Linked DNA regions of Astyanax mexicanus. The protein of the gene in region 1 purifies or fractionates together with the protein of each later gene. This does not show direct contact. Links are inferred from orthologs where the notes say so. Each region holds a gene or a part of one and is shown on either strand. Other genes may lie near its edges.

Region 1 (7,954 bases):
TAATTATTATGCACTTACTGCAGTTCACACTGTGTGTATGGAGTCACATTTATTAAAGAAATGGTGTTTTTTTATGCAAGATGGGCTAAAATACTGTTCACTGTTATCTATGTGAACAAACATACAAATAAACACAATATACAATATCACAATTATGAAATATCCTTGAGGTCATGTTCATTTATTGTACAATAAATCAATAATGTTATTATTGTGACAGAAATAGTACTGGAATATGTTTTGCTGGGAGAGTGCAGAGTGTATCACCAATAACACCAGTAACCGTACCATTTCTATAGCCCCTATATAGGAACAGATGAGTAAAACATTGTCCTCTTGTAAAACCAGTCCCTTTGTATTTGATGGCAGTGGTCAAAATCCTGAATTGTTCCAAGAGCCCTTCACGCTTCAAATACAGCTTAGCTTGACCCACCATCATTCAAGATGCATAGTCACTGGCTTGTATTTGGCAGCCTCTAAACTTATATTTTAGATTCTAAACTATACAAACTAGCTAAGGAGATTGTAGTAAAAGAGTAGAACACCTTTCTGAGTCACTTAAGATAAGAACATCTGCTAAATGCCTAAATAATGCCATAAATCTAATTCCTGCACTCACTGACTAAAATACATGGGTGTTTATGTAGAAAAAAGGGGCACAAATACAGAAACACACCCTTCTATTGGATCAGCTTAGCAGTGGCAGAAAGCCTAAAAAAGCAGGCTTGGAACCAGAAGGTCATTGGTTCAATCCCCACTACCGGTGGTGGGAGTGAAAGAACTTTTCTCTCCATTCCCGTAACATTCAGGACTGCAGCACTCTTATACAAGGAACCAAGACCGCATTTGCTCCCCAGGCACTGAGGCAGCTGCCCACTGCCCTGGGTGTGTTCTCATTGCTCTACTTACTCGAGTGTCTTCTCTGCCACTGATAGATTAACTCTGTTGTGTTTCATAGTCAATTTTCTTGTTTAAATCAACCAGAACATTAAGTTAAAATCAGCTACACAATGTTAAAGTGTACATGTAATATGCATTACATTGCTAATGTTATTTCTAAACAAACTTGAACAATATTGCACTTTCTAACATTGGCCAAAAAAAAATATATATATATATATATAAGTATAATAATATAAGTATAGGCACTGTTCACTATCAACCTTACAACCAATCATAAGTGTACGTTACCAGGACTTAAAAACACATTGTCATGCATTACTTCAGACCAATTTTAGGCTTTTGAGGGGAAGAGCATATGAACACTAGGTCTGTGGCTCACAGCCACTATAAAAAACACCCACCAAGTGTTTACAAACGTACATAATTTTTTTTTTGTATAAAAACAAAAACATTCTTGATCAAAACTCAAGAACCACACGCACAACATCAACCAGTAATTCAACATTCTACAATAGTGACGAGCGTTCTGATTTGTCTGTGAACACATTTTTCTCATTTATTGTCTCAATACACCACCGCAACAAGCTTATACTGATAATATAAACACTACTGCCTTTATTCCAGGTCTTTGAGGTCTTTGGACTAGCTTTTTCTGTTTTTTCCTTGGTCTCCGCTAAAGCTCAGGGGTTATCCAGGCTTTGCAGTTGCAGCACCAAGACATTGGAATAGCCTACCACTTTTCTCTTGGATTGTAATTGTACAGCACTTTGGTCTTAAATGTGATTTATATATAAATTTTACTTGGTTACCTTCTTAAAAATCTAATTTTAAAGAGTAAAACCATTTCACCACCCATTGCAGTAATTCACTCGCTGCTGGAGAAGCAGTAAAACTGACCATGATATGCCATAACAAGTATTCATTGGCTCTACATTCATAACAAGCACAAACAACAGGTGTTCTGAGCCAAATGTCTCTACTGGAGATGTGCATCCGGATGGGACTAAAATTACCGGAGGACTATGGAGTTCAGTAGGTAATTCAGCCTGTACATTTTTTAGAGGACATCTGAGAAAAACACATACATGGTTGTTTCGGATGGGAATAAAATCTTAGAGGACCCTCATATAAGAAAACTTTAACTCAGGACCCCCTGACTAATACTGTCCGGATAGGGCTTAACTGTTTTTTACTCTGACAAGAGAACATTTCAAGAACAGTTACTAGCTTAATACTATGGGGAGATTACTGTTTTGTAGAACTCAGGATCTGCAAGCTAGTTAGCTAACTAATTTACTAACTACATGACCTGCTCAACCCTATATCATAGCAGTAGAGACACAGGCGGTCACTGCAGGCCAGGGGATGAGCAACAACCCAGCAAATAGGCAGGCCATGATGATGAGTCAATAAAGATGTCAGCATAGTGCTCTTGATAGCTTAGATGGGTCAAGCCATCAGCTATCAGTTTGCCACAGCTCTTCTTCTTTCCTCTATCGAAATATCTGACCTCTTTTATGTTAGTGACAATAAACTGACGGGTATGGGTCAGCCAAATACCTGCTGTATCTGTATCCCTGCACACTGGATGACTCATACAGCTTCACTAGCGAGTTAGCTTAGCTAGTTATAAACAGCAAAAAGTAAACAAGGATAAGAAGCTATGGAGAACTAACGCTAGCTATGTTAACCTAGCTAAGCTAGCTATCTAGTTAGCTACTAACATTAGAATGTCTGGCCAACGTTCACTTATCACCACTTCAGCTAGTTAACTAGCTAGCTAACTAGAGCATTTGCGCTCACTAATGAGATTGTTAAAGATAAAATAGCTAGTCTAATCCACTTTCACAAAGGCTGACTTCCCCAGCTAACCTGGTTCACTTTTAATAACGAATATAAAATACTTAGGACAGAGCTGCAGCGTTCAACACAGTACTGAAACGCTGTTTTAAACGTCGTTTTAAAGGTTTATATTATCACACAGACTGTGTTTAACTCTCTCGTCTGTTTGCAGAGACATGTCTGCTCATGTTTATTCGGAACTTCTCAAAGTTAGCAGGCTAGCTTTAGCAGGGCGACCCAACACAAGACCAGGCGAGGAGGCGAGTCGCTGTGGAGACGAACTGCAGCACTTGCAGCCCGCTGTAAACGCTCTGTTTAATTCCCAAACCACAGCAGCAATGGCACAAAACGACACCAACTTTACCAACCGAAATGATTTGAAGAAAAGGACAAAAACGATAAGCATGGCTGCGTTTGCCTGCCTTTAGCCACACAGCGGCTTTAGCTCCGTCTACTTTCCTGACCGCTCTGACCACACATATGACAGCAAGCGCTCCGCTAAGCGTCCGCCTCACTTCACGCCACACAAATCAACTTTTAAACAGAGAATTGTTTACCTCTAGTGTCGGGATTTCGCCCTTCTCGCCGAATTCTTAAACCCTCAAATCCACTCCACTCCTGAACCGCGCCGGGTCCCGCCCCCTGACGTGTTTTTCATTGGCGGGAGCCGCAAAGGAGGTGCGCTGCGCACGCCGACGATTGGCCAGCGCGGCTGTCAGTCAAAGGCAGACGCTCAAAACTTCCGTTGCCAAAAGAAGTTCGTTGCGCAGCTGCGATGAGACTCCGTGATTGGTTGATTCAACAAGCGCCAAGTAGTAACACACACGCATACGCACACTACTAATGATAAAAACGCATAATATTAACACTCATTTAAATATGAAAACAACACACAGCACTGATACAGCACTGTACTGATGAATAACATAACATAAAACGCAGGTATAAAATATTAGGTATACAACGAATGACAATACATAATTAATAAAACATGAATACTAGGTAATTAATTATAATGGACAATACATGTAACGTTACTGATGCATTAGACTATCGGTGTTTTATATAACACATAAAAACACTAACCGCAATGTAACGCATAATGCATGTACATCCACCAAACTCTGATAAATACACAAATTATTAATGTGTTACACTTTTATCACAGTTCACCCTTTTTCTATTGTTTTCACTATTAACTTATCTGCAATATAACTATTTACTGCTTACCACAACTACTTTGTTGTGTTTTATCTAGCTGCAGTAGCACAATATACAGAAATAGCAGACAGTCAAGACTGAGGAAAATTGGAAAACACACACCCACACACATACACCTACAGAACACTACACATGTAACTAAAAAAAAAACCCACTGATAATCGGACTTTTTTAACAGCAATGTGTGCACTTTCTACGCATTTATTTATTCTTCAGTTCAGTTCAAGCTACTCAGATCCTGTGCAATAATCTGTACTGTATATATTTTCATTCATCAACTGACTCTTAAATTTGTGTATTTGTGTATAATTGTTTTACATAGTTCATGTTATTTATTGCATGTCTTAAACACCTAAGGATTCCTGCATAATTTTATTGTACATCGTGCAATTACATTTAAAAGGGCATTTAATCTTTAAATGTTTAAAATGTTTAAAAAAATATTGAATTTAATAAAAACTGCAAAAACAGAAATATATAATGTCCCACACAGGAAAAGTATCTTGAATCAACATCCATTTTTCTATCGCTAATACATTAAAACAACGTTGACCAGAATTTATTTATTTGTAAATATTGACATTATTGTTTTATATTTTCTGTTTCTATTAATATAAATAATATATTAATGTATTTATATATACATTAATATATTAACATGTAAATTATTTTTATAAATTCTGTCTGTCTGTCTCTCCGTCGGTCGGTCTTTCTGTCTGTCTATCAATCTATCTGTGTTTACAACTCTATAGCGGTCCTTATATCTCATGACTGATTCAGGATTAGCTCATTGGTTTCACATCCTTGTCTTTTCAATAAAAGCTCCAATCACTAAACTGATACCAGATCAGCTGTCAATGCGTTATGGAAGGCACACAGAATCTCGCGGGAGTTCAGTGCGAGACTTGTCCAGTCGTGAGAAAAATCAGTTGACGCTCCTCTTCCTTCTCCTCCTCCTGCTGCTTTAGGCTCCGTGTTTTTGGGCCATAAATCCTGCGAGGGTCGCGCTAAGACCCCCGGTAGCTGCTGCTCGTACCGGAGAAGTGTTCCTGTGGAGCCCGATAAAGCTTTACAGCGAGGTATTGTGAAATTCCGCGCTGCTGTCACACAGTCGGGCTGCTCTGCAGTTGGTGTTTGGTCTGTTAGCTTGGGGCTAACCGTTCGCTAGCTGAGTCTGGAGCGCTCCAGAAAACTGAGGACGCGTCCCAACTTGTCATTAGTGTGAACGGGGCGTCTGTGCTTAAATCCACTTCACAGTCAGTCTGCTTTCACTTTATATTAAGAGACTTCTTTATATTATTCCATCCTAGGCCTTTGCATGTAGCCGTCTGGCTAAGTCAACACTAAATGGCGTCGGATACGAGTGACACAGAGGAGTTTTACGATGCTCCAGAAGATGTCAACTTCACTCCTTCACCGAAAGTGTGAGTACTCTATTCACTCTTACAATGTTCACACACATTCCAGCATTCATACTGATGAACTGGGGCGGAGTGGCCTCTCCGTTCTGTGCTGTGCAGCTAGCTTAGCTATCTAGTTATCCTAGCTGACTGTCATTACAGCTGTAACAATACACGATTTTAAAATTCTGTTTAATTTTCGAGGTGGCAAAAATGCTGGTGCTTATATAATTCTCACAATTAGCTAATATAATTAGTTAAATTCTGCCTTTTTAATCTCTAGGTTAGCTAACCAATGTTTTTTTTGTGCTTTATGTTTTTTGTTGGCATGAGTGGGGCTTTTGTATAGCTAGATTTGTGGCACATTCAACTGTCAAGAGTATGTAGCTTATAAAAAGTTTAAAGGAGAACTCTGGTTTAAACTAGACTTGGGACATAGTTAAACATGATAATGATCACAAACTTTTGTCTAATAGCCCACCTCTATTCACCTTCAATATTCTAAAATCCAGCATTCTGATTTCTGATGATGCTCTCAAGAGACCTAAAAACTTAACTTTAAAACCCATGCAAAGAAATATTTATTTCAACACTTTTGACAAGCTCAAAGTAGCTTCACACTTCGCTGGAAGAATTCCAAGGCCCCTGACATTGAACACGAGGCACTGAGAACTTTGAAAGTGCAGAGGTAGTTTATTAAAAAAACACTGTTTATACACACAGTACATCTTGAAATTAAGTGACGAGAAGTCGACTAAGGAGCACAAATTAATTGGTTGGGTAGGGGAACAGATTGCATAATGAATGCATAAATTCCAGCTGTTGTTTAAAATATTTATGCAGTTCCATGGAATTGCATGGACAAGGCTATGCCCCTATCACGTGCATTGTAAGCCTGTTGGGAGCATCAGCTAAAAGCACAGTAATTAGGAATGCTGGGGGTGAATGGAGCTGGGCTGTTCAACAAAGGTTTTTACTCCTTGTTATGTTTCACTACACCCCACAACCATTTCACACAGGATTTCTCCTTTAAGGCTTTAAAAGAATGCTTTGTTTACTATAGGGCTTACTGTGCTCTCACAAATGACATAATATACAAAGGAATCAGTCTGCATTTGCTTCGAGACAAAGTATTAATATTTTCAAAAGAGCTAAACTGGAAATGTTTTTGCGCTGGTAAGACATAAATCAAATCTGGCATTTTCCTCATATGACCCAGGACCAATTTTGGACTGGTTTGTTTTCAAACACATTTTTTCAGACACTGGATTGACACTGCAATTCCATTTGCTATTTTTTAGTGGAGAGAACACAATAAGTTGAAGCTGTTATGTGACAAAATGAACCACATGTGGACCCATGCACAGTTAGCTCGAACCCAAGTTGTCTTAAAGTAAACTTCAGACCACAGATTTTAGGATGACCTGGGGTCAGTACACTTGACCACTCTGGACCGCTCCCGGGCTTAAAAGTAGCTTTCACGCTTGACTAAACGTACCAGACCCAGGTGTGGGCAAAAAAAAATGGTTGCGTGTTTTGAGTATTATGTTTTAAATTGGATTTAAACTTGCAATCTCATAATATATATTAAAACAGACCTGTCATCCTGAAGTTGGTGACGTCAATATGCACTGGCCTGGGGGTGTGGTGGTGGTGGTTAAGATACAGATGTGACACAACATGTAGCACACTTTCCATACGCTGCTGTTAAGACCTGTGAGCTTAAAGCATTGAAAAAAACTTTTGCTTTCTACCCCATTAATGGCTGACCAGAGACCCAGATGTTTAGTTTGGGTGGGCCCTCTATATGTCCAAATGTTTGTGGACACGATTGCTAGTAATTAAATGATTCAGCTACTTTCATTAAGCTGGAAAGATTGTGTTCCATCCAATGTTTTTGGGATAAGGTGGGGCATTGGAGATGGGACGGGCTGGTTATCATGCAACATCCTCTCCTCAATAATGCTGTTGTCTCTAAATGCAGTCTTTCCTTACAGCAGTGCTGTAACATCTAGTAGAAAGCTTTCCTTCAACATTAGATCAGATCTTTTTAATACCCCTGAATTTGGAAAAACCAATAAATGAGCAGGTGTGACAGTACATTTGTCCATATAAATAAATGTTAAATTTCCCCTGTAATGCTCATCCAGGTGTTAAGTCCCAGTGTTTACGTTTTCTATGTTTGTTTATCAGCAGTACATTTCGTGTACACGGAATTTTCCAAAATTCAGCCCAGATTTACAATAGCACTGTTTTAATCATAAACACAAACATCTAGATCTGCAGTTCTCACTGAAACATTGCAGGCAGTTAACGTTACTGTCTTGACAATGGCCATGTAGTGCGTGAGTCATAAGCTCATGTGAACTATTACCAGATAAATACTGAAGGCCTGTTCTCTCTGCTCACTCCTCTCTCTCTCTCCCTCACTCTCACTTATGCTTTACCAATTTTTTTGGTTAAACATACCAAGACTGATTTGCTTTCCACTGAATTTCATCATCCTAAGTAGAAAGTTGACCTCTAACAGAGTTTTGTTTTCACCATGTGACTGAGGTTAAAGGGCATGTGTGTGCGTGTGTGTGTGT
Region 2 (7,627 bases), on another chromosome or scaffold:
ATGCCTTTCTGAGATCACTTCATGTTTTGCTCATTTAACTTTTCACAGTTTCACAGTAACACAAAGGTTAACCGGAGGAACTCTAGGCTTTGCATGACTTTTCCGATAATCACCGCTTTGAATCCCGGGCAATGCTGGTAGCCATCAGCAGCCGGAGTCCGAGAGGGCACAATTGGTCATGCTCTCTCTGGGTCCCAATGTAATGTTGGTCAGCACAGGAGTTTCCTCTTCAAGTGTGTTGGCTACCCAGTGACTCAGTTAAAAAAAAAAAAGAGAAGAGTGCCCCTAGTGTTGGAGCATTACTAGTAATGGGAAGTTCTAGTGAGTGTGGGGCAAATTGGTGTTTAAAGTTGAACTAAGTTTGTTTCTTTTCTTTTTTTGCCAACAAACTCATCATTTCCACTTTCTGCTTTATGTGCTTTGACTTTAAATGAATACAATGACTTTATTATTAACTTAACTGTGATTAGAAGTTAAGAATTGGATGGTTTAAGCTGATCTTTGATGGTCATTTAGGGGGAAACATACCCTATACTGGCGAGCTAGCTGCTTAACCAGCTCCTTACGAGCGGATCGAGTATGTTACACTTGATTTTGGCCATGCTCGTTGACCAGATCATGTGTGTAAACTATCTAAACTATCTAAGCTAAACTATCAAACTTGAGCTAAACTCAAACAAAAACATACTCTATGTTGGTTTTCAGCATGGATTAAACTCCAAAATGTAAAAGTATGGATGGTTAATAACATATCAGGATAGAAACTATAATATAATACACCCTTAAACCCAATATTTGTATTGTGGCATTATGTACAGTATGTGCCTTGGATGGTCTTGCGCTCCCCTCTTTATTAATATGAATGTTAAGCCTACACGTGGCTGTCTTGAAGCCACACTTTACAGTGACTTGCAAAAGTATTCAAACCCCTTGAACTTTTCCTTTTTGAACATTTTGCCCCCTTACAACCACAAACTTAAATGGATTTTATTGAGATTTTATTTGAAACGAAAATGATACACGGTTTTCATGATTTTTATCAAATTAAAAATCTGAAAAGTGACGTGCAAAAGTATTCAGCCCCCATATATCACTTAGTCTTCTTAATGGAGCCACTATTCGCTGCAGTTACAGCTATAAGTGCTTTGAGGTTTGTCTCTTCCAGCTTTGCATTTCTTCTTTATAAAACAGCTTAAGCTCAGCCAAGAATTTTAAAAAACATGTATCATTTTCGTTACACTTCACACTTATGGAATACTTTTTGTCTATCACTTAAAATCTCAATTAAAAAAAATACATTTGAGTTTGTGATTGTAAGATGACAAAATGTGGAAAAGTTCAAGGGGTATGAATACTTTTGCAAGCCACTGTATTCGTGCATCTAGATGGAGCTGTTGGCTCTGTGCACTGAATGTGTGAGAACTATTGGGCATTGTTCTTGTGGCAGAGCAGAGCTGTTTGGCCATTATCCCCTACAGTGATTAGTCAGGACCCGAGACTGAAGACCCAAATCAAATTACGTTATATTTAGTGAAATATATAAATACTACACCTTTCAGAAACTCGTAAAGTGGAATTTGAAGGATTGGAAGATTTAGGATTGTTCATTGTAATGAGAAACTTAACCTAATGAATTTATCTATTTGTATTTTGGTATTTGCAGATTTTATCTCCAAAGTAATCATTTATTCAGGGAAAGTGCTTTACTAAATGAAGATTGTATGGTACTTTTTGTGGTATGTGGTTATTATCCATTTATCCATTTAGCTTGGTTAGAATAAGAACACCATTCATTGTGATGTACAGTATATAAATATAACCACGGTTGTATAGGAGTAGCTTTATACGTATTTTTTTCTTTTTTATATTAATCTCACTCGATGTGTAACTGTCCAGATGTACTACCAGAAGCCTTGCACACAGCTCAGAATCACTTTGTTTTTGTTTTTTTTTACATTTTATATGTATTTTTTTCATTTTTCTTATCTCGTGCCATGTAAAAGCTTCTTAAAGTGTCTTTATAAAAGCAAAGTAAAAAAAGTTTCCATTTTATGTTAGGATGTGTTTATATGTGTATGTTACATTTAATTTGTTGTGGTATTAGCCTACGTTACAGAGCTTTACTCCTCAGCTGGAGCACACGTTCACATATTCACACATTCAGCGGAAGTTCTGTGGGTTTCAGTGGAATAGCATGTTACATTTAGAGTGGGAAGTTTGATTCTTCACTTCCCTTCAGCAGTCTAGAATGAATTAATTTCATGTTACTGAAAATGCCAACAGTCTTGGGCTGGTCCTGAGAATGTGTTGTGAAGTTCTGATGTATTTGGGTTTTTTTTTTGTGTATTGTTACCATGGGGGCATGTTAAATGAATGAATTTGGTCATCTTCAATGGTGTTCACACACAATGTAGTTTACATATATTTACCTTGTATTGCAATATTTACACAACGCACTAATTTAACCCATTGCATTTTAATCAGTTACTGTATAGTTAAAGAGGTTTATTTTTTTTCTTTCTTCGCTTGATTGCAAACAACATTGCTTGTAATAAAGGGATGTTCTGAGCTGTTTAATAGTAATAAAATGGCACAGAAACAGAAACTGCTCCGTGTGAGTTTTGTTTGTGCTATAAAGGAGAGCACACCTTAAAAGTTTACACACTGAGCTCAGTATAAAAAGTGTTCTAACTGGTGTGAAAAGGTGTTTGTACCCCTTTTTTTAATTTAATTTATAAATTTTTGCACGTTTTGGGTCATCAAACTAATCTAAATATTAGTCAAAAACCCTATCCGGACGGGATTCGTTTCTTAGAGGGTCCTGGGGTAATTTTCTCCCTTATGGGGGTACACTGTGATTTTAATCCCGTCCAGAACGACCATGTATGTGTTTTTCTCAGGTGTCCTCTGAAAAAAATTACCTGGTCCTCCAGTAATTTTAGTCCTGTCCAGACTCATATCTCTGAGTTTCGTCTCCTTGCGTTTAATAAAATAGCTACTAATAAAATAGCTAATAACAGGAGGCCACAAAAACATATCTTCCCACAAGTCAGTGCAATATTTCTTAGCTTCAATGGGACATGGCAAAAGTCATGGGATATGATACTAGTTTCTGTGTAATGACACGTGGCATGTTAGTGTATTAATCACTTCATTACACAAACAAGGTTTTGATACAGCTATTAGGTGTAAAATTACAGCTCAATTTATTCATGCACAATTTGTATTTGTATATTTGGACGGTCATTAATCTAACCTCTCATCAAGGGCCACTTTCTGACCACTGGACACTATTGGCTGGGTATTTCTGGTTTGCCAACTATTCTTAACCCAGCAGTGACACTGAGGTGCTTAGCACTCTAGCAATGCTGGTGACACTAATACACTCAAACACAGCCTACAATATACTGCTATCCTGATGTTAATACACTGCATGAACAAAAGTGTTGGCCCACCTGATCATTCATTGTTTCTTTCAATAGAATCGCTATGATGATTTGATTGCATTCAGCAGAAAGAACATTAGTGAGATCAGGATATTGGATGATCACCACCTCATCTGTAACTTCCAGCCAAGTTCCATTGATGCAACTCCATCAATCCAGAGAACACAGATCCACTGCTCCACAGCTTAATGTAGAGGAGCTTTATATCCCTCTACGCCAGGCATGGCATTAGGCATGGTGCCAATACATGTATGTTTATCTGCTGCTGAGAATCCCCTTCAAATAAGCAATACTTCTTTATAGAGACTGGACAATCTGTTTTAGAAATGGTTGCAAATGGTGCAAAATTAATGCAACACTGGATTGAATTAAATCTTGTGACATCGCAGAAGCTACCACAGCGTATGCATGTCACAATCAAACCTAAAGGCGGTCCAACAACAATGACAAAAAAGGTTACACACACCTATATTTCGTTGGACAGCCTTTAGCTTTGATTGCGGCATGCATTCGCTTTTGCGTCGTATCGATAATCTCTCTTCTGCAATGTCACAAGATTATTTTCAATACAGTGTTGCATTAATTTATCACCAAGATCTTGCAGCAGCATTGATGATGCAGTTTGGCATTGTCATCTTGGAATATTGCCGTGTGTATCATCAGGGAAGAAAAAATCTTCCATTGATGGAATAACCTGGTCTGGAATATTCAGCATATATTCAGGTAGCAGTCAGCTGACATCATTCTTTCAGCACAAACTGTTGCTGAACCCAGACCTGCAGACCAACTGCAGCAGCATCAACCATCAACCCCACATCATTTACTTACATAAATCCAGGTGGTGACTTATTTACTTATAATTTTTTTGACCAGGCAGTGTAGTTGACTTGACTTGACTTTTTGTATTGATCCTAATGTAATGTAATGCAATGTGATGTATTGCCTCGTGCACACTCTTAAGTGGCAAAAACATTCTGATAACCTGATGCCTGGGCCCTGTAACAGTGTCAGATTAATGACGGACACCCTTGTACACAGGGGTTTAAATGTCTGAGGCTAAGATAAGATATCCCATATAGGTTACCACCACCATTCCCCACTCTGGCATCACATCAGCCGCTGAGTGGCTGCTGGTGCAGGCGGCGTGACGTCACTCCCAGCCAGCCTCGCTCTCTCCCTCTCTCTCTCTCCCTCAGCCCGCTTTCCTGCTGCATCACAACATAGGGTAGCTAACCTAGCAGCAGCGCCCTGAACTCACTGTTTTTCAGCAGGACAGCTAGTTTTATTCAACCGGACGTGGCTTAAAAATATCGTCGGTTTCTGTAGTTATAAACCCGGCTAGCGTTAGCGAGTTATTAGCGCTGTGTGCGCAGGCAGCGAGTGAATAGTAGAGAGTCTGCGAGGGCTGCTGGTTCGTGTGTGTGTGTCTTTCAGTAGCGCCGTCCGAATCGCTGGGATATGGCCAGGCCGGAGCAGGTCCTGCTTCTGGAACCTCAACACGAGCTCAAATTCCGGGGTAAGACGCCCGCCCGGGCTGGGTGGGGGGCTGTGCAGGCGCGGGGCAGCACGCAGGGCTTCGTGTGTTTTGAAGGGGGCGAGGTAGGGTGGGTATTTTTGGGTGGGAGGGGGGTACTGCGAGATGGCGTTCATGATAGGCCTCGGTCCTGTAACGGTACAAGCTAGCTAGATAGCTAGCCGGCTAGGTTAGCTTAGTGGATGGCGAGCTGTGTTGTTTAGCTAACTTAGCTAATAGCTAACGTTAGGTTAGCTTGCTTGCTAGGTTGACATCCAGCGCCCCAACGCCCTTCACTTCACTTCAGTTCAGTAACGTTACAGTAACAGGAGAATGAGGAATAGACAGCTTGCTGTGGAGAGCTTAACCTGCAGCAGCTAACGTTATCTCAGCTAACCTAATGCTAATAAATTGTTAAGTTAGTTAGCTAACGTTAGCTTGTATAGGTTAGCTATAGCTGTAGTTGTGTGTGTAACAGTTGAGTTATATATTTATTTATAATGGAGCAGGTTTGACTAGACAGCTGGTGTTACTATCTTAGATAGTTTTAACTAACCCTGGCAAACTAGGCCTCTCCATCCACTCAAACGTATGAACTCAGTCAGTTTAGTCTTTCAGTAATAAAACTGAATAAAATAATCCATACCTGCCTATGTTAGCTAGCTAGCTAGCTAGGCTTTCAGGGCCTGTGCCTGGTTGCATTAGCTAATTTAGTTGTTTCCATTAAGAATGCCCTTAACAATTCCTTAAAGGTAAGTGTGTTGCAAAAAAAATGCCTTAAGCTAAGCGTTATCTAAGTATTTTCTTTAGGGAAACCCTTAAATGTTCCCTTAAATATTGATGCTTAATAATTCATGTAATCTTACATAAACTCTCTTAATGCTCTATTCTCTGAAAAGTTGTTTAATGGACCCCAAACCTCACCTAGGCTTGTCACAATAAGATTTTATTGATTAATATCAAACATCAGTAAGGAGAATGAGGGATAGACCGGCTAGTTATGTTAACCTAGCTAGCTAATCTAGATTGTTGGATATGTAACCAACTGGTTTATATATGTTAGCTAGCTATAGTTGTGTGTATTTACGAGGCTGAAGTTGGTTTGATATTCGCAGCTCCAGATTCGTTTGGCTCGATATTCGCAGCCTCGTATTCCCCGGCTGAAGTTGGTTTGATATTCGCAGCTGCAGCTTCACTGAACCACCGTGAACTAAAGGGAGCGTTCACAAACACCCGCTGTTTATATTAAACACCTCACAGATCAACACTGAAGGAGATAGAATGAAGAAAAGCAGTACAGCTGTTTATTAACAATGTAAATATACAATATCTTATTAAATGTAATTTTATATACACGACCTTCCATCACTTATTTTCTCCAGTTTTACTTACAACATGAATTTGCTGTTCTAGTGTAATTCATTCATTTCCTGAGTCAAAAATATCTGAAATAGAGATTTAGCCTCCTACTTTCAAGAAAACCTGGCATTATCCTGTCCGGAGCCAATTGTATATTGTAAAATATTTAATTACTGAATTTATAATTATATATTATAATAAATAATAAAAATATATATTTAATGAAATTATATTTTAAAAGCCATTGCTCTCAAAAAATATAAGGCAGATGTTCAAGTGTGATTTTGAAGAACTTTTTCATGTTGGGCCAGAACAAATACACATGATCTGAAGAGTTCTATTCTTCTAATTTAAGGAAAACCTGGAATTAGCCTGGCCCGAGCTGATTTTATACTTTAAAATGAACTGGCAACATGGAATACCGATCCATAATGCACAAAAAAATTGAATATAAAGCTGATGTTCCAGTGTGATTTTGAAAGACTTTTTTAATCTTGGGCCAGACCAAATACACATCATCTGAAGAGTACTAGTCTTCTACTTTAAGGAAAACCTGGAATTAGCCTGGCCCGAGCTGATTTTATACTTTAAAATGAACTGGCAACATGGAATACCGATCCATAATGCACAAAAAAATTGAATATAAAGCTGATGTTCTAGTGTGATTTTGAAGGACTTTTTAATCTTGGGCCAGACCAAATACACATGATCTAAAGAGTACTAGTCTTCTACTTTAAGGAAAACCTGGAATTAGCCTGGCCCGAGCAGATTTTATACTTTAAAATGAACTGGCAACATGGTATAACGAGCCATTTTGCACAAAAAAGCCACTGTTCCAGTACAATTTTGAAGAACTTTTTCATCTTGGGCCAGAACAAATACACATCATCTGAAGAGTACTGGTCTTCTACTTTAAGGAAAACCTGGAATTAGCCTGGCCCGAGCTGATTTTATACTTTAAAATGAACTGGAAACATGGAATACCGATCCATAAAGCACAATTTTTTTTATGTAAAGCTGATGTTCCAGTGTGATTTTGAAGGACTTTTTCATCTTGGGCCAGAACAAATACACAAGATCTGAAGAGTACTAGTCTTCTACTTTAAGGAAAACCTGGAATTAGCCTGGCCCGAGCTGATTTTATACTTTAAAATGAACTGGCAACATGGAATACCGATCCATAATGCACAAAAAAAACTTAATATAAAGCTGATGTTCCAGTGTGATTTTGAAAGAATTTTTAATCTTGGGCCAGAACAAATACACATCATCTGAAGAGTACTAGTCTTCTACTTTAAGGAAAACCTGG

Evidence for each region.
Region 2: the proteins of wdr44 (region 1) and vapb purify together in Homo sapiens (affinity purification with mass spectrometry; 4 studies listed by BioGRID and IntAct, counting the BioPlex papers as one, with this or other methods). This does not show direct contact. The link is inferred for Astyanax mexicanus from reciprocal best matches to the Homo sapiens genes WDR44 and VAPB.

The regions. Positions count from the first base shown.
Region 1 is NC_064408.1:31,687,739-31,695,692, reverse strand, and holds the start of wdr44 (WD repeat-containing protein 44), read left to right. Parts: upstream 1-4,876; 5' UTR 4,877-5,045; intron 5,046-5,276; 5' UTR 5,277-5,313; coding exon 5,314-5,390; intron 5,391-7,954. UniProt on the Homo sapiens protein: Downstream effector for Rab11 which regulates Rab11 intracellular membrane trafficking functions such as endocytic recycling, intracellular ciliogenesis and protein export.
Region 2 is NC_064412.1:55,095,135-55,102,761, reverse strand, and holds the start of vapb (vesicle-associated membrane protein-associated protein B/C), read left to right. Parts: upstream 1-4,623; 5' UTR 4,624-4,904; coding exon 4,905-4,962; intron 4,963-7,627. UniProt on the Homo sapiens protein: Endoplasmic reticulum (ER)-anchored protein that mediates the formation of contact sites between the ER and endosomes via interaction with FFAT motif-containing proteins such as STARD3 or WDR44.